Linked DNA regions of Oryctolagus cuniculus. The protein of the gene in region 3 interacts with the protein of the main gene of each other region in a pairwise test. Links are inferred from orthologs where the notes say so. Each region holds a gene or a part of one and is shown on either strand. Other genes may lie near its edges.

What was found.
Region 1: the proteins of MAPK9 (region 3) and EFHC2 interact in binary tests that used the Homo sapiens proteins (3 or more experiments, as listed by UniProt). The two-hybrid records come from large-scale screens. The link is inferred for Oryctolagus cuniculus from reciprocal best matches to the Homo sapiens genes MAPK9 and EFHC2.
Region 2: the proteins of MAPK9 (region 3) and WDR62 interact in binary tests that used the Homo sapiens proteins (3 or more experiments, as listed by UniProt). The two-hybrid records come from large-scale screens. The link is inferred for Oryctolagus cuniculus from reciprocal best matches to the Homo sapiens genes MAPK9 and WDR62.

What each region holds. Positions count from the first base shown.
Region 1 is NC_091453.1:30,094,614-30,099,504, forward strand, and holds part of EFHC2 (EF-hand domain-containing family member C2), read right to left. Parts: coding exon 4,825-4,891; intron 1,830-4,824; coding exon 1,699-1,829; intron 1-1,698. UniProt on the Homo sapiens protein: Microtubule inner protein (MIP) part of the dynein-decorated doublet microtubules (DMTs) in cilia axoneme, which is required for motile cilia beating.
Region 2 is NC_091449.1:19,667,850-19,672,740, reverse strand, and holds part of WDR62 (WD repeat-containing protein 62), read right to left. Parts: intron 4,166-4,891; coding exon 4,113-4,165; intron 2,160-4,112; coding exon 1,941-2,159; intron 927-1,940; coding exon 799-926; intron 471-798; coding exon 367-470; intron 49-366; coding exon 1-48. UniProt on the Homo sapiens protein: Required for cerebral cortical development. Plays a role in neuronal proliferation and migration.
Region 3 is NC_091437.1:67,213,085-67,218,587, reverse strand, and holds the start of MAPK9 (mitogen-activated protein kinase 9), read right to left. Parts: upstream 3,721-5,503; 5' UTR 3,527-3,720; intron 1-3,526. UniProt on the Homo sapiens protein: Serine/threonine-protein kinase involved in various processes such as cell proliferation, differentiation, migration, transformation and programmed cell death.

The sequences.
Region 1 (4,891 bases), on a different chromosome or scaffold from region 3:
TGGGTCATCTTCTACTGCTTTCCCACACCATAGACAGAGAACTGGATCAGAAGAGGAGCAGCCGGGATACAAACCAGCACCCATATGGGATGCCGGCGCCACATGCAGAGGCTTAGCCTACTACGCCACAGCGCCAGCCTGATTTTCATCCTAAGGAATTCCTGGAATAGGGAATTTTGCTCTAGTGTGGTTGCCCTTTATCCCAACCATACAAGAAGGGTCTTAGATCTCCCACCTGGCCTAAGTGCTTCCCAAAAAGTCCCATAAACTCACTGAGGTATTTCCAGTAGACTTTGCAAGAGTGTTGGGAGAACAGATGCTTTTATAAGAGGACAGAAGATAACAAAACAAAACCACTCCCACACTTCTGATGGAAATTTCTTGTTTTTCCCTCCACTGTTTTCCATTGGCCCACATCTAATATTTCTTTGCTCTTTACTCTGTCTCCATTTATTTTCTAAAACACCATGAATATGTGAATATGACTATGAACAATAACCAAGAACTATAAATCCTTACTGATCCCAGAAGGTTGGGGATTCTAAACAATAAAAATATGTCCTCTGCCTGCTTTTCTGAAAAGAATATTTTAGAGACACAAAAGGGCGTTGTTAACAACAAACAAGCTCTGAGGACATTCCTGGCTTGATGGTGGGCCCTAAGCCATCAGGTAGTGATGCAACAAAACTGTAGACACCAAGCAAAAAAGAGCTCCCTGCAGCCCTTGCCTGGGCTCCCTTCCTCATTTCTCAGCCCACATCCTGACTGCATCAACCCGTTTGCTATACAGCTTCTAGCCACTATTGTTTTCAGCAGCCAGAATTCTCAGTCTAAAGAGAAAGTCCCCTTTGTCCTCCCCATCCATGATTTAATTTACATTCTCCTGAACGCCCCATTCACTACGTTTTTAGGCTAAGAAGTCTCACAATTGTACTAGATCCTGAATTTGAATTTCCCTGTGTTTCCACTTTTTGGAAATTTGCCCAGGTCAGCCACTGGATAGTCCCAGAATTCAGCTTTACCTTAGAGAAAATCCTTACTGTTGATGATTTCTTATAGCATTTCTAACTACTGTGATATATTTTCCCTTGGATTCCTGTATTTTTTCTTGCTGAGAATACACACGTGTCCATAAATATGTAGGGGCATATTATGAAAAAATTATTCATGTACTTAAAAAATTTTTGTACCAAATGAAACATCTTTTAATTCCATTTCCCATGAACTTTCTGAACTCCCTTTGTACATGCGCACAGATGCACACATATGCCCTTTGCTCTGAGTCAGTAAAGTTTCTACTATTTTTTTCCAACTTGACAGCATTCCTAGAGAGATGTCTCTCAAGTTTTCAGAGGGTTGCTCTAAGTTGCATTTTCTTCTTTCTCACTTAGATGTACCATTGCTGGCATTCCCCGATCCTTCAACACCACGATTCACAAAACAAAGTCACTAACTGACTTTCTACATTTCTGTCTCCCTGTTCCCACATATAAACATTCTTACATGTGAATGCATAAAACTTATTAGGATATTAATGGCCAAAATTTGACCACAAAGTAATATGAATGCAAAGAAATGCCAATTGCTAATAGAAAGCATGTAGTTCATTAATTAGGAAGCACTAGAAAAGAAACTTCCTTGTGCTCATTAGACAATCTTGATGGGAAGACAGAATATTGCTAGCAGACTATGGCTTACCTAAATGTACTAAAATCCAGTATCTTCGTGTGTTCAGAGTCAGCAGCTGCAAATATCTGCTTGATCTCTTTGGATCTCGGTTCTAGTTCTTTCAGCTTTTGTAGGGCAAATTCAAGGTTGCTAAATGGAAACTAGAAGAGAGAAATGAAAGACAATTTTAAATATGCCTGAGATTTCAGGGGGCCAAATCTTTCTCGTGGCCAGCAAGGAGACATCGCCCTGTGAACCTGAAGTTAGCTGGACATGTCTTTCCATACAGCCCAACAGCGAGAAGACATGATGAGCTTTGTATCACCTCAGTTAAGGCTTTAGGACAATGGATGACATTAGCATAGGTCTCAGATCGGAGAGAAATGAGCTTGAGGGACAGCAAGTCATAGAGATCAGAAATCAAGCCCTGCTTCCACTTCAGCGTCCTCCTTGTAACCCTTGGCCATCGGCCTAGTATGTTCAGAGACCCTAATGGAGAGAACGGGGATTCAAAGTCGGATCTATGAATCTCTCTTTTCTATAGACCTTCACAATGGGCCTCCCTGGAATTGCTGGCCACCAGGTGACGCACTGATCGGAGCAAGGCTAGGTGTCAAAGATCTACACAGGCACTGTAATCCCTGTTCAGCTGTCTCCTACCTTGTGATTAGCTTTTTGACTAAGAATACTCCTTATTAAATCCAGGAAAGCATAAGGTTGTAAATAATTATAGCTAAGAGACCAAAAATGGGGAGATGAAATTTTAAACTAAAAACATTGGTGGTGATTTAGTATAAAGCTGCCTCTCTTCCACAGAAAATGATCCAGGTGGTTTGGCGCCTAGTGCAGCCCCCACTCCCTCTGCTTTTTTCGCATTTCCTTTCATCTATTTCCATGATAGGATCTATTAGCTCTTTTGAAAAGACTCTTCAAACTGATATTAAAGGGTATATTAATCTTTCTCTGCTTAGAATAACCTTGTTAAAAGTAGTTTTAAAATAATACAATTTTCACTTGGGGTGCTGATAACAGATAATGTCCTACCATGCTTTTATCATTCTGAAAGGAGAAAAGTCCTTAATATCTTAAAAGATATATATGTGTGTGTGTGTGCATATACACACACACACACACACAAAACTACATACAGATGCTACACAACTTCTAATGGGAACTTGGAAATGCATTTAATATACCCAATCTAGCAAACATCTTAGATTAGCAACCACGAGGCTGACTGGGAGCTGTGCTCGCTGCCACTGCCCAGCATAACAAGCAAAGATCTAATCACAGCGCACTAGCCCAGGACAAGATCCAAATTCAATACTCAAAGTCCAGCTTCTACTGAATGCATACTGCTTTAGCACTATGACAAGTCAACACATTTAAGCCCAGGCATCCCGAGGGTCCTCAGGATGTATTAAAGTATAGGTTCACCTTCTGTTTGAAAACAGAACCCAAATTTATAATGGCTACACTGACTGAGCTTGCTGTGGGCCACATAATCATATCTAATCTTCACAGCAGCTCTATGAAATAGGCATTCTTGTCATTCCTATTTCAAGGATGAGGAAATTGAAGCCCAAAGAAGATACTGCCTAACGTCCCAGCTATTAAGTGTGGTATCAGGCAGGGTTCCAAGCCAGGCCTGCTGGTCTCCAGACTCTAACAGCTGGAGCACTAAACTTCTTGCCTCATTTCAGTGTTTTCAAACAGCCACTGGTTCATGGCTTTATGATAACCTGAATCCCTAACACCACACGTGGAGAGATGGTGTGGCAGCCACGAAGGGTACTGCTCAGGCCTCCTGTCAAGAGCCCCTGCAATGAAGAGCATTGTTAGTTGGCAGCCTCCAGCTGCCTTACCTTCCAGACGGACACACACAGGATTCACACACAGTGCCGGGTTGTTCTTACTCACTGACTGAGCACAAGGGCCAGGGTGATGTGGGGGAGGGGTGCCAACACTAGAGCTGGCCCTCTCCTGCTTGATGTGGGACCTCTCTGATGGGCACTCTTTGCTCTGGGGCTCCCTATTGACCTAGCTGGGACTTTCTCAGAGCTAGGTTGCCAGCTGAGGTTTTCCCTACCCCCGCTCCTTCCCTCCCCTCTCTTTTCACAGGGGTCAGATCTGCACCCCAGTCTAAAGGCTCTTCAGCCTCCACATCTGTGGGCCTCCTCCTCTATTCTTCTGAGGCATTTCACCCAATACATCTCTTACACACCTAGTTCTATCTTGGCATCTGCTTCTCAGGGGATCCAAACTAACAGAGGTGATGGGATCTACAGCAAGAGACTAATCCTAGCAACTTAGCAATCTTAGCAACCTGAGAATTTTTTATACATAAATGAGGCAATATTGGTATCATGTGTATATATAAAAATGTACCTAAGTATCATGACTTACAGGTAGAGTTTTAAGATAAATTTTTTTCCAGGTAGATTTTTCAATATTAGACAATGATTGCCAAATACATGTTTGCACACTGAATGAGTCTACACTTAACATAAAGATTTTTATCAATATGTTTTTTCCTGATCAGCATTGACATAATAGCATATTTAGTAATAGTGCCCATCTGCTCTCTTATTTCCTTTTTTAACTTTTTTCATCTTATTTCAAATAAAAAAATCTTTGAGTTCACTATTGGCAATCTCTCCTTAACCTCTGACTTAGGCCTTTAGATGGTCACTGTTAGAGGAAGTTGCAACGCCAGCAACTATCAGATTCCCTTGGGGTTTCTGTTTGTTTAGGTCTCAGCCTTTTCTGTTGGCCTTTGCCAATTAACTGGATGGCACAGTGTGTGGCATCAGCTTTTCTTGCTTTCCTATAGTTATTTAACTTCATTCTGAAAACACTGTTAGTGTCAGCAGAAAACCCAGGAAACTTGATTCAGCCCGGGCCTGCCTCCTGCCTGTGCCTGGAATCCGTGATGCTGAGCAGTAGAGAGCCCAGCATATAAACAGAGTACACAAGGACCTGGCCTCTGTGATGAGACCTGTGGCCAAGTTGCATGGATCCATTATTCATGCCCACATGTGTGAATGCACAATGTAAAACTAGTGGCAAGACCAACAAAAAAAGACCATAGAGAAAGAAAAACACACATTGAAGAAGGCTGGGAGGCAAGTCAAGAATTATACAAAGTAAATTCACCCTATCTGAATGCTTCTCCATGTATGTTAAGGTGTACTCATCAGCACTGAGCAACATGAACAGGTAG
Region 2 (4,891 bases), on a different chromosome or scaffold from region 3:
GAGGGGAGGCCTGGCTGCACTCCACATCACTGTCTGACTCCCCCGAATCTGCAGAAGCAGAGCACAGGGTCAGAGGCCCCCAGTGCCCACACCGGGTGAGCCAGGGCATGTGGGCATCGGTTTCCCCATCTGGAGAATGGGGACAGTGACAGCAGCCACCCCTATTTTTCTGAGCCAGGGAAGTTGCGTGGCGAGGAGGGGGCAGAGCTGGGTTCTCAGCGGGAGCAGGGCTCCAGAACCCTCAGGCAATGGCAGGAACCATGTCTGTCTTCTTAGGGCAGGTGGGTCAAGGTCACCATCAGTACCCAGGAAGGAGCCTGCTGGCGGAACAGACTGTCAGAAGGTCCTTGCCTGCTCCACACTCACCCTCGGGTGGGCTCTGATCCTTCAAGCTGATGGAAGAGACCCTGAGGTAGGAGTCAGCGAGCTGGTCTCCAGGCCCTGCCTCGGCCTCCTTCTCGAAGGACTCGCTGCAAGGCCGCGTGAGTGGGGTGAGGAATGACTTACACTGGCGAGCAAACACCTGGTCCCACCCAGAGCCTGGGCACCAGCACCCTGCTCGACCACGAGCCCTCTCTTGGCTTCTCCCGTCTCCCCCTGTGCTCCCTTCCCGTGCTGCACCCCACCTGGAGCCAGCAAAGCCAAGGCTGCAGTTGTGACCCCTTCCTGCCCATCCAGGCCTCAGCCCTCTCCCTCGGCGGTCTCCATGCCATGGCCCCAGGGAGAGGCCTCTGTGCGCCCCTCAGCAGGGGGCTCCTCTCTCCAACTACAGCTCCCTGCAGTGTGGAGGCCACTCACCTGTCTGTCCCCGGGACTGGCACCTCTGCCTCCAGGGAGTAGATGAAGAGCTCGCTGGCCTCCGCTGGCTCCCTCTGTGGTGGCAGGAAGGGGCGCTGCCCGCAGCCGTCCTCGCGGGGGCTCTCTGACTGTGGGGGGAGGGGGCGCAGCCTCCTGAGGCCGCTGTGCAGCCGGGCCTCTGCAGGCCACCCAGCATTAGGCCAGCTAAGGCCTAGGAGGAAGCTGCCCGGGGCCTCAGCCTCGGACAGAGCCAGGACCTGTGCCAAGAGCCCTGCTCCCTGACCTGGTCCTGTGCTTCCCCTGCACTGTCGGCCCTATGGCTCTACCCTCTAGGAATCCACTTAGATCAAGTTCAAGAACGAGCAGGCCAAACCAAGGTGAGAGGCTGGAATACTGGCTACCTTGAGCTAGGGGAGGGGCACCAGGGGTCTCCTAGGAGGCAGAAAATACTCGGTTTTGACCGCGGTAGTCGATACATGGGAATCACCCAGGGAGTCCACCGAGCTCTGTGCCTCGTCGGTGCGTTACTGCATGTGGACAAGGGGGCTTCGGAAAGGGCACAGAAATGCATATTATGAAAAAAGCTACGCGTGGACTTCCTTTTTTTTTTTTTTTTTTGCACCCTAATCAACTTACTATTTAATTCCATTTGTTGACAAACTTTTGGAAGTTTCCTTGTCTTGCACCATAATGAAGAAGAAAACCGCACAGCGCGCTAAAAAGTTCTGCTTGGAAAACAACAGAGCTACAGCTGCTGGGGCCCGGCCCTGCTCCTGGTGCTGGCTTCCTGCAGAAGCCCTCTGAGGCACAGGAGAACCTAAAGCCCAGAGAGGCAAAGCCTCTTACTCCAGGTCACACAGCCAGGAAAGGGAGGGCTCAGGGCTCCATCGACTCAAATGCCCCTCACTCAGATACAGAGGGGCTGGGCTGCTCTAGGGCCATGCTCTTAGACCCAAAGCACCTACTTCCTGAAGGCTCCTGGTCTATCCTGGGAGGTCTCACTGTGCAACAGACCTGGGGCTCCCCGTCCTGTCCTCTCCACACCTCTGGAGTCAAAGTAAGAGACCCCCCGGCCCCACGTCCTGGGTGGGCAGCCGTAGCGCAGAGGCTGCAGGCAGGGCTGGGGTGGGCGGGCTCCGTACCTCGCTCAGCAGACCTGCCAGGTTCTGTGGCTCCACCGTGTCCAGAATGGAGTCGTCCAGGCTCTCGGCCTTCATGGGGGTAAAGTAGCAATCCAGCTCCCGCACATCCAGGATCGTCTTGAGGGGCTCCTGGCCAGCCCGTTCCGCCCAGCGGCCGTGGGGCTGGTAGCTGCGCTTGGGGTGGAAGGCCGAGCCGTCCGCCACATCGTCATCTCCTAGCTTGAGGGAAAGGGGAAGGTCAGGCAGCAGCCCTGCTCACCAGCTCCAGTGAGGACCACGGACACTGCGCAGGCCGCAGCCATTTGCAGACAACTTCAGGCTGAACTGCACACGCACTGCTCTGCGTCCCTGCACGCACGTTCGGCTACGTTTCAATTAGCTAACGTGTTGAAAACTCCTGATTTTTGTCCCGGGCCTGCTCTTCCTAAAGGCTCCCCTACCTCAGCCATTCTTTCCAGTTGCTGAGCCCCCTCATTCCTCGCTTGTTCTGTACACCGTATTTCAGCTGAAAATCCTGTTAGCCCCGCCAGACAAACACTTCCAGAACATGGGTGTGCTCGCTCTGGTCCTGTGAATCCACTACTCCTCCCAACACTCTGGATGGACAGACTGCAGAGGACACAGGCTCTGAGCCAGCCCACCCCACCCAGGGTCAATCTCACACCTGAGTCCTAGGTATAAGACTCTGGGCCTCAGCTTCCCCAGTTGATGTGGGGCTAAGAAGAGCCCCTACAAGGGCCGGTGCTGTGGATAGCGGGTTAAGCCACCATCTGCAATGCTGGTATCCCATATGGGCACCAGTTCGAGTCCTGGCTGCTACTCTTCCAATCCAGCTCCCTGATAATGGCTTGGGAAAAGCAGTGGAAGATGACCCAAGCGCTTGGGCCCCTGCACCCATTGGGAGACCCGGAAGAAGCTCCCGAGTCCTGGGTTTGGCCTTGCCCAGTCCTGGCTGTTGCAGCCATCTTGGGAGTGAACCGGCAGATGGAAGATCTCTGCCTCTCTTCTCTCTATATAACTCTTTCAAATAGACAAATAAATCATTAAAAAGAGAGAAGAGCCCTACTCGGCGAGGTGTAAATGGGCTGACCTAGTGAGAGGCTCAGCACCACGGAGCTGCCGAACATCATTCCCGCTGTTACCCGGGCTGGGCAGGGAAATGTCAGGGCCTGAGTGGGCGGAACCAGGCGCCCTGACCTGGCCCGCAGAGGGAGACTTCCCTGAGGAGCTGGCACCGAGGCCAGGACCTGAAATATGACATCGTTCCTGAAACAAACTCCAAACCTAGAGTGTGCCGCCAGCTTCTAACCCATCAGCTCCCAGCTGGCTCCTCTCCAGGGCCAACAATTGTTGATTCAATCTTAAGGCCACCTTGGTCCTTCTCTATCCCTCACAACCAGCTGTTCCCCTCTGAAGTCCACCTAGAATCCCACCCTTTCTTGCTGCTCCAGCCTCTTCGCCTGGATGACAGCAGCAGCCTCCCACCCCCACTCCCCACCCCAGCCCTCAGTGTTTGCCACCTGCGGCCTCGGCACCTGTCAGCCCTGAGTTGGATCCAAGCCTCCCTTGGCCCCAGCTCATCCAGGGGCACAGGGAGGAGTAGGGCAGGACAACAGGGCGTGTCCTGGGAGCTCATGGAGCTCTTCTCCCCACTCCATCCCGGGGGCACCCCCAGCCTCCCTGCTCCTCCCGGAACGTTCTCAGTACAGTCCTGCCTCCTGGCCTTGGCAGTGCCCTGAGCTGCACGCCTCGCTTGCTCCAGCTCTGCTCAGATGTCCTCCTCCCTCAAGACCCTTTCTTCTTCCCCTAAAACTGCCCTCCTCCACTCTGCTTCTCGGAGTCTTTTTCTTCCACAGCGTTGATGAGCTCCCAGCATGCTGAGCAGCACTTATATTTCCCACGACACTGTCCCTCTCCGACATCACAAGTAAGCCGTGAAGGGAGGGGCTGCCTGCCCTGCTCACTGCTCTACCTCCGAAAACCAGAACAGCACCCGGCACCGTGCGTGGGAATCGCATGAGCGCAGAGCTGTCCAGGCCGGCGCTGCGGGGCTGATGGCATGCTCCGGCCGCAGAGAGACGGAGAGAGGGAATGACGACCCGGAGGACAGCAAGGTGCGGGCAGGGCCCCTCCTCTGCCCGCCCCAGGCGTTCCACTCCCCAGGAGACTCACCAGCCGCTTTGCCCAAAGTGGCAGCTTGCCGTTAGTCAGCAGGCAGCGAGGATCTGGAGAGACACAAGGAATCCATGGGAGTAGGACCAACAGCCTGGCAGACAAACGGGCAACGTGCACAGGTGGGCGGCTTCCCAAAGAGGCGGCACAGGAACTCACAGATCGAAAGGTGCTCAACCTCACTAATTGCCAAGGAATGCAAATTTAAACAATAGAATATAATGCTGTACTCGTAAGCCTGACCAAGATTAAAATACTTAACACTGCTGAATGTTGACAAAAAGTAGGGGGGGTGGAGGGCCCGGCACGGCGATGCATGGAGCAGTAATTGGATTTGGAGAGCTCTTGGGGTTCTCTCAAAAAAATAAGCCAACTCTTGGGTGGTGCTAAGAGAGGGCAGGCAGGTGGGTGAGCTGCTTCTGAGAGGAAGGAGAGAACAATCCCCAGGCTCTAAGACAGCTAATGGACATAAATAACACGATGTGTTCCCGGGCTATGTCCAAAGGCATATTAAGTTCAGGAAAATTCACACCAGACTGGTACGGGGTCAACCGGAGAGGACACCAGACTGGGCATGAGGGTGGCCACAGGCATTACGGACGAGCTCACTTTGTAACGTTCGCCTCTCTGAGGCTAAACTCTCACACCGCTGTTGCCCAGGAGGCAGATCCCCAGGCAGCCCCTGCCTGTGTCCCCTTGCAGGGACAGCCCACCCCCACCCTAAAAGCACGCTGGTCATCACCATTGCCAGCCTTGCTGGAAGCCACATGGCCAAGGGC
Region 3 (5,503 bases):
CTGGGGTCAGCAGCCCCGCCCAGCTACTGGACACCTTCAGGACTCTACCTCAGCTGCTCCATCTGCCTGAAATGACTCCCCTCCCCTCCCCTGCTCCTGGGTAACCTGCATTCTCTTTTGAGCACCTGCCGCTCTTGCGTTTCCCTCCACAGCCTTTCCCTTCACGGTATGCAGGATGTGCCCTCTTCCCTGCCTTGTCCTGAACTTGTTTTCTATTGTACCACCAGTGAAACTCTTGCTTCCATCCTGTGAGCTCCTTATGAGAGAAAATCGTCTGACCTATTTCTCAATATCCTGCTATTAAAGGGCATGCCCAGTAAATGTTTATTCAAAGATAAAACTATGTGGGGAAAAAAAAATGTATGGGGCAATGGTTAAAATCAGGATGCAAGAGTCAGATCCCCTGTGGGTCTGCTACTGATCTGAGTGAGCCAGAGCACATGCCTGCAGCCATTTGAGAAATGGGGATAGACACGATTCTTGCCACCTCCAGAGGGAAGAGCCCAGCTTATCTCAGGAGGCCAGGGCACAGGAGTGCACCCTGAGTCTGACTTGCTGGTTCATCCCCAAATAGCCACAACTGCCCAGGCTAGGCGAGGTGGAAGCCAGGAGTTTCATCCACATCTCCCACATGGGTGGCAGAGGCCCATGCACTTGGGCCATCTTCTGCTGCTTTTCCCAGACCATGAGCAGGGAGCTGGATCAGAAGTGGAGCAGCCAGGAACTCGAATCAGTGCCCATACGGGATGCCGGCGTCACAGGCAGCAGCTTTACCCTCCACACCAGCCTCGGGTCCCTACCTCTTAGTGATATACAAGTATATAATGAAAAACTCATGGGTGAAATAACACTTAGGATTTGTTTAAAAATACGGGAGGTAACTGTGTACAGATAAGAGGCTACCAATGAGGCAAAATCAGCCAGGGTTTCTAACTGTTGAAGCTGGATACCGTTCTTTTTGTGTCTTTTCAGAGTCACTATCATAAACAGTTAAAAGACTAATGCTGAAACCTTGTTCATACAATCAAGTACAAATGATTAAGAATTAATTATTAGGTGGGAGCCAGCGCTGTGGTGCAGCAGGTTAACACCCTGGCCTGCAGTGCCAGCATCCCATATGGGTGTCGGTTCGAGACCCGGCTGTTCCAATTCCCATCCAGCTCTCTGCTGTGGCCTGGGAAAGCAGTGGCAGATGGCCCAAGTCCTCTCTCTCTGTCTCTACCTCTCTCTGTAACTCTTTCAAATAAATAAAAATAAATCTTTAAAAAAAAGAATTAACGATAAAAATATAAAAATGGAAACTTTCTTGCCAAGTGTGAAGTCCAGGTACATATTTAGACCAAAAATAGTTGCCTTGCAGCCAAATCAGCACTTCTTAAGAAAAATCCCTGACTTCTAGGTTACCTGAGACATCAGGGAATAACTGGTTACTAACAATCACTTTGCCTGATATTTTAGCCAGAAACCTGATTTTATTTTAAATAGAAACATTCAATTCTACTCTTTAACACTTATTTCAAAGTTATGCCCTTTCACTAAATTATTTTAAAGTCCCAGGATCCTGAAAGTTAAATCCTCAGGCAAATGAAAGCTTTCCACAGAAGTCTATGCCAAAATAGGATTTTTTTTAACCCCACTGGTTACTTCTGAAGAGAATAAAAGGTTAAATGGAGGAAAGCATTACACAGATTGAGTGTTGTTGTTTCAGAACGAATTAGAAGCCAGAGGAGCACAGGCAGGGCTGGGGGCCCCAGGGAAGCATCGTCTTGTGAGGGATTGTGCTGCAGAGCAGGGACTCTGGGCTTTTCTTCCTCTGTGAAAACAGGTGTCTTCGCTGCTCCTTCCAGGGCCCCAGGGACAATTCAGTAAGCACCTGAGCAGGCCGGGCTCCCACCCACAGTCCGTCCTGGAGGACCACAATCCCGCAACCAGGCTGAATGAGGTCTGTATTTGGCTAGGCTCACAACAACAACAACAACAACAAACAGCTACTGCCAATATTGAGAAATCAGGAGAGTGCAGGTGCAACTGTGGATTGAAGCTTCTTTTAGAAAATTGCTGGGCGAGGGGCTCCTCCTCCAGGGTCCCCACCACTACACGCTCCCACACCTGGCCAACGCCACACAGCGTTAGGTTCCTTCCTTGGCCCTGCCCTTTCACACTCTTTGCACCTCTCCTGGCCTGGCAAGCGTGGAGGCCCACCAGCACCACCTGTTGCTCCACCCTTCCGCAGGCATCATCCACTGTCCTGGAACCAACCCTGTGCGTCATGCCTTTTCCACGGGGCTCCCAGGCTCTCTGGGGGAAGGGACCCTGTCGCTCTCTCCTTTGTGTCCCTAGGGCCCAGCAAAAAGCATGACCTAGATAATGGAGAATTCAGTGGCTGTCTCCTGGATTTACTAGGAGGTCGTTAGAGCTAAACCATTATAAAGATGTAACATTTTATATCATAGCTCGTTACCATAGTTACCAAATAAAGAGGTCAAGGACGTTAAGATGTTCTACAAAATGAGAACAAGCTTCCGAGTTTCACAAGTCACTCAGAAGTCACTAAATGAACAGGTAAAGCAGAGACAACAGGTAGGCACGCTCCTTACATCATTCATTCATTCGCTGAACTGAGACTATCAAATACTTACTGTATGCTTTCTATAAGTACCAGGAGAAAGCAGACAAATCAGACAACTACCTGTTTACAGAAAGCTACAGCCTAGTGGGGGAAGACAGAAAAGGAGAGGCAAATAAATAGAACAGTTTCAACTCAGAGTGCTAGGAAGAAAATGAAACAAAATAACAAGACAGAATGATCCCTTGCAGAGGGTAGCCGAGGAAGGCCTCGCTGAAAATGAGACATCTGGACAGAGCAAGGAACAAAAAGGTCCTGGACGCGACGTAAACAGGAGAGGCAGCAGGTGCAAAGTCCCGGGGACACGGAGGTTAGCAAGTTCCTGGCAGGTGGGAGGATTAGCGGGCCCAGGGAGCAGTGCTCTGGGGAAGAGCTGTGGTGGGCAGGGCCTGCTCCGCGTAGCTGAGCACTGGGCGCGCAATGACAAGGCACAGGATGGGTGGGGAGGGGGCCCCCACCACACTCACGCCAGCAAGGGGCAGTATCCGGCCCTATAGTCCACCAGTGTGCACAGACTTGCGTCCAGGTGCTCCCACAGACAGCCCAGTCTTGAAGATCAGACATGGCCCCACTTTCCCGAAGGGGCAGCCAGCGCCTAATCCAAGGTCGCGGGGACCACCGAGCATCCGGGGCGAGAGGGCAGCTGCGCGGCCCGCCTGGAGGAGGGGGCCACAGACCCCCGCGGGCAGGTCTGCGGGGCCAGGTTCCGCGGTCCTCGCCGCTGGCAGCGGGCGGGAGGGGGCGACTGCGGCACGGGCGGGCAGGGGCTGCGGCCCGCCAGCAACCCCGCGGCTCCCGCCAGCCCCGGAGGCCCGGCCCCAGAGGCCCCGCGCCCACCCCGCTCCCCGCCGCGCCCGACCCCAGCACCCACGCCGGGCCTAGCCAGCCCTTCGGGCTCACCTCGCCTCCCTGCAGCCGCGCCGGGGTAGAGGGCGGGCGGGCGCACTGGCGGCGCTGCGCGCTGGCCGCTCCCGGCTAGGCTGGCCGCCCCGCCCCGCCCCGCTCCGCCCCGCCGCCGCCGCCGCAGTGGGTGTGAGGGGCGCGGGGCGCTTCGACCCTTCCGGTCGGCTCCCTTCCCCTCAGCCGCCGCCGCCGCCGCCGCCGCGGCGCCCGGCCTGACCGATCCGTGACTCCACCAATCAGTGCGCGGAGAGCCCGGCGGGTGCGGCCAATCGCGCTAGGGGGCGGGCCGCTGTCGGGCGACTCGGGCGGGGCCAGGCCAGGCCGGGTCTGCGTCCGAGGTCTGGTGCAGGGTCCGGAGGCGGCGTGGGGCAGTGCCGGCGTGTAGCGGCGTGTAGTGGGCTGGAGAGACGGGCGTGGCTGAGGTCGCCCGATGACCCCTCTCTCCGGGCAAAGAGGGTCCGCAGAGCTGCGGCCGAACGCCGAGCCGGGAGGAGGCGAGAGAGGATGGGCCGCAGGCGAGGCGCGGCGCCTCAGGACCGGGGCTACTCGTGGGTCCGAGCCCCGGGGCTGCAGGTGCAGGCGCCCAGCAGCGAGGCGACCTGGAAGGAGACAGGAGGAGGGAGGCGCGGCGCCTGGGACTCAGCTCGCTGCGGACGTGCCGCACGCACGCCCCACTGGACGGGTTTAGGGGTGCGGCCAAAGGTCAGGGTTCAGGCGCAGGGTGCGAGGAGATGACCGTCGTGCACCAGTCTTCCCGGCCGACAGGAGCAGGAGGGAGTGTGCTGGCTGACAGGGCTCAGGGGGAGCAGAAGGGCCCCCTAGGGACCGGACAAGTACAGCTGGGATGAGGGGCGGAGGCGGGGCTCCCCGAGGGAAAAGCTCCGAGGCCAGTCGTGGGCTAGGGGCGTCGGATTTCGGGCACCGATAGAGTTGGGGACCGTGATTGATAAGTGGTGAGTAAGGAGCTGGGGCAGCAGTCCCGGGACGCCGAGGTCCACAGAGCAGGGGGAGTAGCAGGACCCTGCAGGTCTGGGGTGGAGTGTTGCAGAATCTGGGGAGAGAAGCGAGCCTGTGACCCAGGTTCTGAAGGGCCGGGCTCGTGCAGGCACCACGGCCTCAGAGGAGGGGTGGGGCAGAGAACGGGATCTAGCCGTGGTGTCCTCCCATGGCCGCCAGGGGGAGTTTTCTAAAATTGAGTATCACTAATCCCGGCTCCTGAACGTGGTCTGCATTGAAATGGACCCATCTGGTGGGCTCCTGCCACCTGCCTCAGCTAGCTGCTCAGGAGAAAACAGGGAACCTAAAATTGCCGTTACTGAAAAAGATGAGAAACTAGTAAAAGCCGGGCTATCAGAGATGAGGTCCCAACAAGGAGCAAATGTGCATAGACACATCCCCCCAGGCTGGGAAGAGACAGTGGATTTCCAGAGGCACTTGGGCCTGGTTTTTAGCAGTCACCCGGTGCACGGTAAGTAACCTAAGTTTGCTGTCTGTGCTTATGCAATTAGGCATATGTCACTGAGGTTTCTGTAAGAATTCTGGTTATTCCTGGTTTGTCCAACACAGTAGACATTTGTGGACACAGAGCTGGGGGGACGTGGGACAGGGCAGCTGGTCTGGCACAGAGAATCCTGATTGAGGCCTGCAAGCGTGATATGAGCCAGGCAGGACTCATGTGTGTGACTGACACCAGTCGTACCTGCCAGCCAGGGAGAAGCAGGGGCAGCAGCAGAACTTCCAGACAGGAGGAAGCCCCTGCAGAGGCTGGGCAGGCAGAGAGGGCACTTGGGCCCCGAGGCTGAGCAATGAGGAGCCATGTGCTATGTTCAGGAACCTGTCACCTGGTCTTGCTGGCGATGGGGCAAGCGGACTGGAGAGTTGTGGGCCTGAGGGTGAACTGGCACTGCTGATTTGTGGCACAAGGACTCAGCTCTCCGACAGCTCTGGTTTAACCCAGAGCACTTGTTGATGTAT